Ovis aries: one gene and its partners. The protein of the gene in region 3 binds, or shares a complex with, the protein of the main gene of each other region. Links are inferred from orthologs where the notes say so. Each region holds a gene or a part of one and is shown on either strand. Other genes may lie near its edges.

Evidence for each region.
Region 1: ABI1 (region 3) and NCKAP1 share a complex: the UniProt entries of both Homo sapiens proteins name them as parts of the WAVE2 complex. The link is inferred for Ovis aries from reciprocal best matches to the Homo sapiens genes ABI1 and NCKAP1.
Region 2: ABI1 (region 3) and WASF2 share a complex: the UniProt entries of both Homo sapiens proteins name them as parts of the WAVE2 complex. The link is inferred for Ovis aries from reciprocal best matches to the Homo sapiens genes ABI1 and WASF2.

Annotation. Positions count from the first base shown.
Region 1 is NC_056055.1:126,755,747-126,759,398, forward strand, and holds part of NCKAP1 (nck-associated protein 1), read left to right. Parts: intron 1-919; coding exon 920-1,012; intron 1,013-1,169; coding exon 1,170-1,226; intron 1,227-1,919; coding exon 1,920-2,062; intron 2,063-2,143; coding exon 2,144-2,234; intron 2,235-3,652. UniProt on the Homo sapiens protein: Part of the WAVE complex that regulates lamellipodia formation. The WAVE complex regulates actin filament reorganization via its interaction with the Arp2/3 complex. Actin remodeling activity is regulated by RAC1.
Region 2 is NC_056055.1:239,513,594-239,517,982, reverse strand, and holds the start of WASF2 (actin-binding protein WASF2), read right to left. Parts: upstream 2,859-4,389; 5' UTR 2,803-2,858; intron 1,585-2,802; exon of another isoform or gene 1-1,584. UniProt on the Homo sapiens protein: Downstream effector molecule involved in the transmission of signals from tyrosine kinase receptors and small GTPases to the actin cytoskeleton. Promotes formation of actin filaments. Part of the WAVE complex that regulates lamellipodia formation.
Region 3 is NC_056066.1:17,244,661-17,248,093, reverse strand, and holds part of ABI1 (abl interactor 1), read right to left. Parts: intron 249-3,433; coding exon 73-248; 3' UTR 1-72. UniProt on the Homo sapiens protein: May act in negative regulation of cell growth and transformation by interacting with nonreceptor tyrosine kinases ABL1 and/or ABL2. May play a role in regulation of EGF-induced Erk pathway activation. Involved in cytoskeletal reorganization and EGFR signaling.

The DNA of each region.
Region 1 (3,652 bases), on a different chromosome or scaffold from region 3:
AACATGCATTCAGATCACCTGGGTATATTGTTAAATGGCAGATTCTGATTTGGGGTGAGCCTGAGATCCTTCTCTTGTAACAAGTTTCTAAATGATGTGGACATTTCTATTCTGTAGGCTACATTCAGAATATCAGATAGTTCTAGATGATTTTGTTGACTTTGGCAGATTTATGGTTTACTGCTGCATGTCCGATATGGCTGAGTTCTATCAGAAGTTTTATTAATAGTTGTTTTAAAAGAGAACTTAGGACTTCTGTAAATTTAATAATACAGTTGACTGAAATAATGTTTGTCTTTTGTATTCACATTTCCCTTTTCATATGTTTATGCGTCTTAACTCTAGTTTTGCTTCTTTCTCATTTCTTTTTTTGTTGTGATTTTTGCTTTTCTTTAATGTATTACTGTGTTTTGTGGATCTGGTCAGGGAACCGTTACTGTATTTTATGTTTGTATCTACATTTTATTTTGCATGCGTAACGTGGCTTTGCCTGGATGTTCTTTTTGGTAAGTTCCAAATTTATAAAGCATATTGTTTCTGTAGTGTAAGTTATAATATTTTTCACCTTCTTTTCTCCCACTTTTAGTAATGTGATCATGCTCATGAGTTGCTTTTAGTTTTCTTTTAAGAGTTCATTTGATAGTTATTTTTTTCCTAACACTTCCAGTTTTCCTTAATAGTAGTGCAGTTTGGTACTAATCCGCTTTGATTCGTTTTATAGCCTCACACTGTAAGTTGCTGGTCACTATTTAGAAGTTGCTGTTTCAAGTATTTTGGTTTTTTAAAAGAGCCGTAATCATCTAGAAATATTATTCTAAAAGCTTGTGCTTTCATATAGCAATCATAAAAGAAGATAGTTTGTATTAAACATAATAATTTTGTTCACAGTAAACAGTGCATTCTAATTTTGTTTTCACAGCAACAGCTTGCACAACTGCAGAAAGAAAAATCAGAGATTCTGAAAAATCTGGCATTATATTACTTCACATTTGTAGATGTTATGGAATTTAAGGTATGTATTTTAATACATACAGTTTAACATTTCAGAGATAAATTGATATTTGTTAATTGTATAAATTGTTCTGTCACTTGTGGATAATAAAGTATGTGTTTTCTGAATTTAGTAGTAGTCATATAAGTAAAAGATTAAAATAAACTTTTGTTTTCAGGACCATGTTTGTGAATTGCTGAATACTATTGATGTTTGCCAAGTCTTCTTTGACATTGTACGTATAATTTTCAGAAAATTTTCTAATTCTTCTCTCTGTTTCTAGTAGTAGAACTAAGGGGATCAAATGCTTTTCTTTAGAGATAATTTATATGATTAGTATATAAAATTTCAGCATTGAATTTGACTTTTTTTTTAAGGCTCTTTTTTTTTACTTATTGATTGCCATTGAATATAAATCTTGTACATATTGGGAAATAGTTGTTAATTTTAGTATTTTATTTTAATAGGCTCAATTTTAAAAGGTTACACAAATAATTTTTTCTCTATAAAAGGCATATTTGATAAAATCTTTCTTAATAAGACAATTTCTAGATATAAGAAATGAGTGAAAAACATCTCCACTGAGTTAACAGTGAACCTATTCATTAATTTAATACTCCTTTTTTCTTGCGTAGTGAGAATTGCTTCCATGCTTATTATTATTCTGATTTTGGCTATTCTTTTAAATTGTTAGCAGGTTGAATAGGGTGATCACAAACTCTTTCACCTGTAAAATTACACTATTATTTGTAACTCCCAAATTTTAGACATGTTTTTGGTGAAAGGAATTAGGTAGAATTTCAGAAATGGGGATAAAATAAATAAATACAGAAACTTATTAGCTTCCAGTAGCTGCCATGAAGATTCTTTTGTGTGTGCTTAAAAGTTTGTGAAATAAAAAGTTGAACTTAATGTTTTTTTTTCTTAGACTGTAAATTTTGATTTAACAAAGAACTACTTAGATTTGATCATAACATATACAACACTAATGATACTGCTGTCTCGAATTGAAGAAAGGAAGGCAATCATTGGATTATACAACTATGCTCATGAGATGACGCATGGGGCAAGGTATACCGCATTAAAGAAACCTGTGTGAAATTCTCAGTTTGATGGCTTACAATTCAGTGATATTTATGTGTCTGTTTTAAGTGACCGAGAATACCCACGCCTTGGTCAGATGATTGTGGATTATGAAAACCCTTTAAAGAAAATGATGGAAGAATTTGTGCCTCATAGCAAGGTAAGAGCTGGGTTTCAGGGGTGCTTCAGTAGGCATATGAGAGCTTGAGGGTGGATAGGGTGATAAACTGCTTCTAAGAAAGAAAATCTTAATGAGATATGATTTATGGTTATATATGGTTTTATCTAATTGTGAACCAGAGAACTCCTTAATTATATCCAGAATTGTTAATGGAAACTCTGGAATATGTTGATCCATTGTAGTTTTTAGGTTCTCTATAGGATATAGTTAGTGAAGTTTAGTATTTGAGAATGTCTACTAGATTCATATCAGACTGCTTTGTTCTAATCCCACTTCCGACAGTTACTGTGTATTATTGGGCAGGTTACTTAACCGACTTCACTGTATCTCAGTTTTCTTACCTGTAAAAATGCAGTAATAGTAGTCCTACTCTATAGGGCTATTATGAGTATTAAATGAGTTATTTTGTGAAAAGTGTTTCCACACATAGTATTTGATAAATCTTAGTTAAATGTTATTAGAGTATAGCCTCGTAATGAGAAAAAATTGCAGGAGTTTGTGATAATTTGAAATGTCTGTCATTTATGATATATTAAAAAATAGTTCTTAATGAAATAATTTTGGTTTAGAGTCTTGCCATTATGGCTTCTCTGAGGGAGGGCTAGTTCCTTAGCATGTCAAGGAAGCTTATAGGTATCCTCATAAAGATAGGGAAATTGAGGACTGGAAGTGGTATGATGAAGTAAGCCATTTGGCAGCAGTTGTGGCAAAATGAAGGCTAGGATATTAGAATCTTGTTCCATTGTTCCCTTTGAATGATGGGAGTTAGGTTTTTAATAATGCAGTGTTTTATATGAATCTGTGCTTTATTTTTTTGACATACAGTTAGCAGCAAGAATTTTCCTTCAGTTTTCTTACTGAAGATTCTAAAGATGCATTTCCAGTTTAATTTCTCTGCGGATCTATATTATACCCACAAATTCATGTAGATTTAATGTCTTAGCGTTAGTTGTAGCATTAGCTTGAAAGAGTCTAGTCAGTTCAGTCGCTCAGCTGTGTCCAACTCTTTGCGACCCCATGAATCGCAGCACGCCAAGCCTCCCTGTCCATCACCAACTCCCGGAGTTCACTCAGACTCACGTCCATCGAGCCAGTGATGCCATCCAGCCATCTCATCCTCTGTCGTCCCCTTCTCCTCCTGCCCCCAATCCCTCCCAGCACCAGAGTCTTTTCCAGTGAGTCAGCTCTTTGCATGAGGTGTAGATGATACCAATTTTGAAGTAAAAATCAGCATTGTAGATGGAAGTGTCAGGGTTTCTCAAAGTGCTAAACAGATCATCACCACCTATCTCTTTGATTTTGTTAGTGCTTTTACCTCAGCTACTCATCTCTTGTTTTTCCTCTGAATCTGTTTCTAACTTTTTGCCAATCAGATATGGCTTTGCTTTTAGCTACCC
Region 2 (4,389 bases), on a different chromosome or scaffold from region 3:
GTGCGTGCACAGTTGTGTGTGCATGTGCGTGGGGGCGGGAAGGCGCTGGAGGCTTCTCCCAGCCTTCAGCACTCACTCAGCTTCACCCCAGGTCGCCTGCTGCGAAATGTCAGTGGCAGAGAAGCTAAAAATATCCATTCTCCTCCTCCTGCTCACTGCTTGGGCTGATGGGGCTGTGGGGCCCCAGCAGGCCCCTTGGGCCCTGGGGGGAGGAGGAACCGCTGGGCAAGGGGCGGGTGTGGGGTGAGATAAGGAGGCCCTCCTCAGCACACCCCCTCCTTCTTCCCTCTTGGACTCCCAAACCAGGCCCCAGGGTCACCTCTGTCAGGAAGCCCTCCAGAACCTCCTGGGAGCTGCCACATGCTAGGGTGTGTGTGTGTCTGTGTCTGTAGCGTCCAGAGCTGCCTGGGAGGGAGATACAGCCTCCATCAGATCAGGGCTGCTGTGGGCAGGACCATGTCTCCTCTATCAGTCCAGGCGGGGACTTGGGAGGACAGGGCTTCCAACCAGGGGTTCTGGGGATGGGCTATATCTTTCCTCCTCAGCCTGGGTAGGGGGCTCCCAGGGAAGCTGATGCTGTTTCCTCTCTAGTGCTGAGGGTCAAGGGTACAGCCCAGGCGGTATGGGTTCATCTGGAGCTGGTCCTGGAGCCACTAGGGCCCTCTGACCCCAAGGCACATCTGCTGCTACTCAGGGCTTGTGGGCAGGGAGGAGTCTCAGCTCGGCTCACACCCTAGGCCGGCATGTGTTTGTGTGGGTGCGGGCGGGACATGTCAGGGCCCGTGGTGCTTCAGGGACCTGTGTCCCGTCACATGTCAGGCTCCTGGGTGTGTCTTCACTTATGTCCGTGCTGTCAGCAGCTGCCTGCCTTAAACCTTGTGGGCAATCAATGAAAGTTTGGGGAGTTGGGTGTTCCCCTGTGTGAATGTTCCTCTGTATGTGAGGCTGGGTTTCTTTCATAATGCAGACCTGCAAACCCTAGGCTGGAATGGACTGTGGTGGTGTGATGGCTGCCGGTGTTACCACATGGAGAATTCGGTGTGGCAGTGTGCTGGAGTGTGTGTCTCGATCAGATGGTCGGTGTCTGTTTGTCCTCTGTACCAAGAGATCCGCGAGTGTGTCTGCATGTTGGGATGTCCGCCATCTGATGACTCTGTTTCCGTGTGTCTGCCTGGACGTCAGTCACTTTGTCAACAGGCACCTCTGTGCCGGTGTGTGTGCCTGCTGTCAGCTTGATTTTGTGGGTCTGTGTGTTCATGCGTTCCTGCAAATGATGGAGTTGTCTGTGGGGGTTGAAATCTGTGCACAAACTGAGCACCTCTGTCCCTCAGTCCTTTTTCAGTCTTCCACCGTTTCTGTGTTGAAGGCCTCGGGTTTTGTGCCATGTGTATGTGTGTGTGTGTGTCTATCAGTTGTCCCCAGCCCCAGTGCCTCCAGCTCTGAGATCTGCCCTCCCACTCTCTCTCCCGTTGGACTTGAGGTGGGAGCTGAAGTAAGGAGGGCAGGCAGGAACCAGGCACGGAGCCCACCACAGCCGGGAGCCGAGGCCAGGCTGCCACCAGGGCACTGCCTCAGCTTTCCTCCGAGCAAGCAGTAAGCCAGAGCCTCGGTTACATGTAAACACCAGCTGTGTCAAGACAGCGCAGCTTCTTCTAGGTCAACAGACAGCTGTGGGGTTGCTAGGCAACCGCCTGGCTCCCCCCCTCTATTAAGCCCCCACCTCCCACTGCCTCTACCTGCAAACCCTCTGCCGGCTCCCCCCACCCCGGGATACGGCCACGCCCCCTCCATGCCAATTAAAACAGCAGGGTTGAGAGGGTAGGGGGTCAAGGCTGCGTGAAAGGGGGGCTCTGGGACTGGGATTAAGGTGTGGGGAGGTGTAACCCTTCTGGTGCCGCCGTCCTCTGGCCCCCAGTCCTCAGCACACTCCTCCACGCTCCCTCCCTCCTCACCCGTCAGACAGGGGCAGGACTGGAGGGAAGGTAACTGATGCCCCCTGCCAGAACTGGAGAGATGCTGGAAGCAGATGGAAAGTGAGGGGTGCAGACCATATTAGCGATTGGCCAAGTCCCCTCCCCCTCCCCGTCAAGCCTGGGGAAGACTGGCTGGAGGACCCTCTGGCAACGAAAGGGTTAAATTCTCCCTTTATTTCCCCCCTCTCCCAGGATAGCCACCCCCTCCTAGCTACCCCCCCCACCCCCGTTTCCAAGACAGCACCTGCGCTCCCAGCTGCCAATGCCCGTTTGGTGCCCGTGCCCAGGCCAGGCAGCCCCCTCAGCGCCCCAGGCCCTCGCCCCGCGCGCCGCCTTTCACCCGGCCGGGGCCTCCTCTGGGGGTCCCGCAGCGCCCCTCTCCCATCCCCGGGCCTCCCGACCGCCCCAGGCCCCAGGCCGGCGGGTGCGTTGGCTCTCGGATTGGGGTGCGCCGGCCTAGCCGCGGGGCAGGGGCGACTCTGGCTGAGCCGGAGGAAGGAGTGGGCGGAGGGAGCGGGCCGCCGGGCAGGGGGCAGCGCCCGTGGCCGCCCCATTAGTATGCGGTCGCGCTCTGTGCGCCATGGCAACCGCTCCCCCCGCGCCGCGCCGGCCAGGCCGCCCCGGGCGCAGCGCGCACCTCTCCTCCCACAGGTGGCCGCGCGCGCGGGCCGGGCACGCTCGCGCGGGCACGCACACTCAGGGCGCCTGGGGGCTCCCGGGGGCGAGCCGTGGGCGCCAGGTGCGCTGGGCCGCCGGGTCCCCGCGCCCGCCGCCTGTGGGCGTGTCCCCAGGTGCTCCAGAGTGAGCCCGGAGTGGGGGGGGAGTGTACCTGAGGATGATCTGCTTGTGCCTGGGTGTGTCCCTCAGCGCGCCTGTTGTGCCTCTGTGTCTGGTTGTCCTTGAGGGTTATCTGCCTGTCTGTGCTCATTTGCCTTCTTGCTCCTGATTGTCTGTGGCTCTGAGTGTGACTGCCCCAGCGTAACTGAGTGTGTGCCTGTGCCTTTGTGTATCTGTGTTTCAGCGTGTGGTTGTGTCTGTATGCCTGTATGTTCCTTAAGGGGTGTGTGTGTGTGTGTGTGTGTATGTCCATGTGTATGCCCATGGCCCTGGGTTTTCCTCTGGAAGAATGCCATGTGCCTGTGACTGTATATCCGGGTGTGCCTAGATGAGTACGTGTGTACGTGTGATTTCTTTGCACGTGACTCTCGGTGTTTAGCATCCTTGTGTGTGGTGGGGAGCAGCTGCGTGTTGAACTGTGTACCTGTGTGTATGTCCTCCAGAACCTACTTCTCCATGTATGTCATTGTGTGTTCCTGTAAGTGCCCTGAGTTTGTGTCCTGGAGTGTGACTGTGTGTCCAGGAGCTCCTGGCTCTGTGCCCTTCTCAACTTCACTCCCTGCTGCCTGAATGAGCCAACACCTGCTCCCTGAGCACTGGGCCCCCTCCTCCCACCTGGCAAGGACAAGGAAGGACACGGAGACAGAGGCAGACATAGAGACAGAGAGACTTGGAAGAGGACACAGAGAGCCAAGCAGGCTGCAGAGGTGGTGACCTAGAGCCATGTGATCAGCCTCAGAGCCCAAAACCCAGAAGAGAGAAACAGAGATCCAAGAGAGAGACCCAGAGTCACACAGAGACCCAGAGCACCAAGTCCGGAACTGCTGAAACAGACCAGAGATCAAGGATGTGGCTCCCCAGCCTCCCTCCCTCTCTCCCTCCCTTCCTCCCACTCTAGCGTTTCCAGCCCCAGCTGTGCCTCCTCCACACACCCAAAGCAGAATTCTCTTGGCCCTGGGAGTTTGTGCCCTAGGACTGGAAGCCAGCCTCCTCCTTGCAGCAGCTGGCTGTGTGTGTGTGTGTGTGCGTGTGTGCATGTGCACATGCAAGCGAGTGCTCCAGTGTGCATGTGCTACCATCTGTGTGCTATTCTTGGCCGGTGCCTACAATTGCACTTGGCCCTCCCAGGGCCATGGGCATACACACGGACACAAACACACACACACACACCCTTAGGGAACATACAGGCGCACAGGCACAAAGAGGGCAGACACAGCCACACGCTGAAACAGATACACAAGGGCACAGGCACACACACACCTCCCCCCTCACACACACACTGCTGTCCACATTTTCACTGGCCCAGATCATGTACACATTTATACACATGCCACACAGCCAGCCACACTCATTTACACCCGGAAACATGCCCTCAGTCTCCCTCTCTCTACACATCTATACACAGGGCCAGAAGATCCACCATGCATACAGCAAGTGTCACCTTCTTAAGTTCCCCCAGCCTGCCATTCGCCCTTCAGCAACCCCTGAGGGGTTCCCAACCCGTCACCCACAGGGAAAGACCTAAGAACAAATTTGTCAATTCCATCAGACCATACACACAAAGGCAGGAACCCCACCT
Region 3 (3,433 bases):
ACAATTCTGTTAACCATAATAGTCCCACAGTATGACTGAGTGATAATAAGAATCTACTTTAAAAGCAAAAATTTAATCAGTATAGTGCATGATTGATTCCACATAGTTTCCTGGGAACAGACCAGTCACTCGATTGCAGACTCCTTCATACCAGCCATCGTCGTTTTTCTTTATTACATAGATGATTGCACCCTCCATAAATGACAGCTCATCATCCTTGTCTTTTGTATAATCGTATATTGCCACAACTGTGGAGAAGAATTGGAAGATCGTGTGAGTGCATTATATCCTACGTTTAATTGAATTTTTAAATGTAATGCCAACGAATAGTATAGCAAACCCAACCTTTTTATGAATACTCTTAATTCTTAAATCTCTATATCCAGGTAGGTCAAGTAGCCAACTGTGTGCCTAAATTACTAGCTTGACCTTCAGGCCAAACCGACAAATAACTTGAGAAGTCAAGAGTTTCTACAAACCTATTTAGGAAAGGTCTCTGAATTTTAGGGTTTATTACATGTTTCAGTTCATTTGTTCAAATATCTACTAAGTGCCAACCATATGCAAAGCACCATTTATCAAAGTAACTATTGAGTAAAGCTGCAGAGCCAATCAGTAAACGTAACAACCCAAGCTATCTAATTTAAATATATATATATATATTGTGAAGTGAATCTCGTCCTACTCATCCCAGAAAAATACTCATATGTTCATATAATTTATGGGGCTATACCTAGATATATATATATATACACCTTAGAGGTCAGCAAGAATTTTTCTTTATTTTTAAAGGAGAAATAGGTAAGTAAAGACTCACATAAGACTTAAGAGAACATTTTTGCTATTTATTGAGTTATCTATGATCATGCTGAGTACAAAATATCCATTTCCTTTGCAAATGGTGTTGTGCAAAGGAAAGGCATCAAAAAATCACTAGCTTTCCAAACCACTGGTTTATTATTTTAAGTCTTCCTTCTTTCTGGCTTTATAACATGATCATTCTAGAATATGCAATTTTCCAATATATGTGAAACAGTATGTCATACAAAATTTTTTTCATTACCTCATGTAATCTTTTTCTTAAAAAGAGGATTTTTAAGACATTTAAGATATTCTGGAACTCATTAGTTCCTTAAGAAAGGTGGCTATGCTCCATAACTATTCTGAATCAATAAAATACAATAAGGAAAAGACCCGAAGTACTGATCCACAGCATCATTTGATAGAGTAAAACAGGCAATCTTTTTTTTTCCCCTTTACAAAACAGTATATGAAGTAAACTCAACAAGTACATTTTCCTCCATTTTAATCCTGCAGTGAAATCACAGTGTTGTAATCACAGGCTCACTTAACATGCCCAGTTTCAAAACTCCAAAACATACAGAATAAATAACATTAATTATCCTGGTATTTTTGGCTAAATAACCACCCAAGAAAACCAAATGACTGCTAGGAACATTTTCTTTTGCATTCTGTCACATTTTTAGTGGTATAGGTGAGTTTTAAACTGATCATGACAATGCCTGATATCCTCAAAGTCATTCAGCAAAATTAAAATAGTATTTCCTCATGTTCTTAGTTCCACTTATACTAAGAGCTGATAAAAACACTGCACCCAACTAATTGTTTCTATTTGCCAAATCCCCTCTGTAAATGAAACTTAGTCACCCCTCACCTCCCCTTCCCCAATGCATATATTCTCATATAACAGTTCTCACTGCCGAGTATTTAACCATTAACAATGCACATCCATCCTAGTCTGTAGGATCCTAGTCCACATAAAGTGCTGAGCTCTCCCTTCTCTATATACTCACTGTAGGGTTCTGTGGGACTAAAAACCTAATATTCTCATCTACATCTGTCATGAATGCATGTGTGCTAAGTCACTTCAGTCGTGTCCAACTCTCTGTGACCCTATGAACACTTTGCAGCCTGCCAGGCTCCTCTGTCCATGGGATTTCCCAGGCAAAAATACTGGAGTGGGTTGCCATGCCACCTCCAGACCCAGGGATCAAACGTGTCCCCTGCATTGCAGGCAGATGTGAGGCACCAGGGAAACCCCTACATCTGTCTACATGATAAAAATTTGAAGATAGCTATCTAGTCCCTCGGAAATCTTCTTTTTCCTCAACTTAGAAACAATGCTTGTAACTTGTTATAGATACACTGTCTTAAATATTTCAGCCTCCTGAATATTGTCCTCAAAAGTAAACATACTATTAGTCTAATGTAAGTGACTGAATCTGGCTTCTGCAATAGTCATGTCATACTATTGGACTAACATAGTCAATTGAAATCCTGTTAAACCTGGTTTTAATCATCTTGTGACTTATAAAGGTGACTATTAAAGACTTTAAATATAACCCTACTAAATATCAACTTTCTGATTAAGACCAGGAGTCCATAAACAATGGCCCATGACCAAATTCAAACCAAAGCCTTTCGGTCAATAAATTTTACTGGGGCACAGCCACATCCTCACTTGTGTTCTGTCTATAACTGCTTGTTTTGTTTTCCCCCCTTTGGTTGTGTTGCATGGCTTTTGGGATCTCAGTTCCCCAACCAGGGATTGAACCCAGGCCCTCAGCCTGGAAGCGTGAAGTCCTAACCACTGGACCACCAGGGGATTCTCAACGACTGCTTTTGTGCTACAACAGTGGGGTTGAGTAGTTGCGACAAGTCTGAATGACCAGCAAAGTAAAGATATTTCATTTTGCCAATATATACAAATACCAAAGAATTATGTTGTACACCTGAAACTAATATGTCAATATACCTTGATTACTTAAAAAGTTTATTATTTGGTCTTTTCCAAAAAATGTGGTAACTACTTCTGGTTTAAGACTCATTATTTCATTCAACTTGTAAAGAGATTTCTTTAATCCTGCTCTATTACCAAATATATTAACCATTATATCATTCCAAATCTGTTATGTAAATATAACTTGTCCCATTTTCATAGTTATTTAAATTTGCTTTTCCATACTAGAAAATATGTGTCAAAACACAATTCAAGACTGCTCACGTTTATCATTCTCATAATAACCACAGCATATGTCTATTTGAAGGTACATGAGAATCTAAATATGAAGTAGAACATTCAAGACTTCCTCAGTAATATGTAGAATATTTACTGTTTAAAAATAGAAAACAGCCTATTTACTTCAACCGTATATTTAAAACTTGGGTAGGAAAGAATGCTACAGGTATTTGCTTAAGGTCAGTTAATCCAATGAAGCCAACAGAAGTGAGTCCATTTCAAAGGCAATCAAATGTAATCAACTACATAGCAGGTATTTTTCAGAACTCTACAAAGACATTTTATTAGCATAGAAGTAGATGACAAAAAACAAATAGACTCGCAAAAAACAGTTTCCTTCCCACCCACTACTACTTAGTAATTACAGTGAGTGTCAGATAATGCAGGTGAATT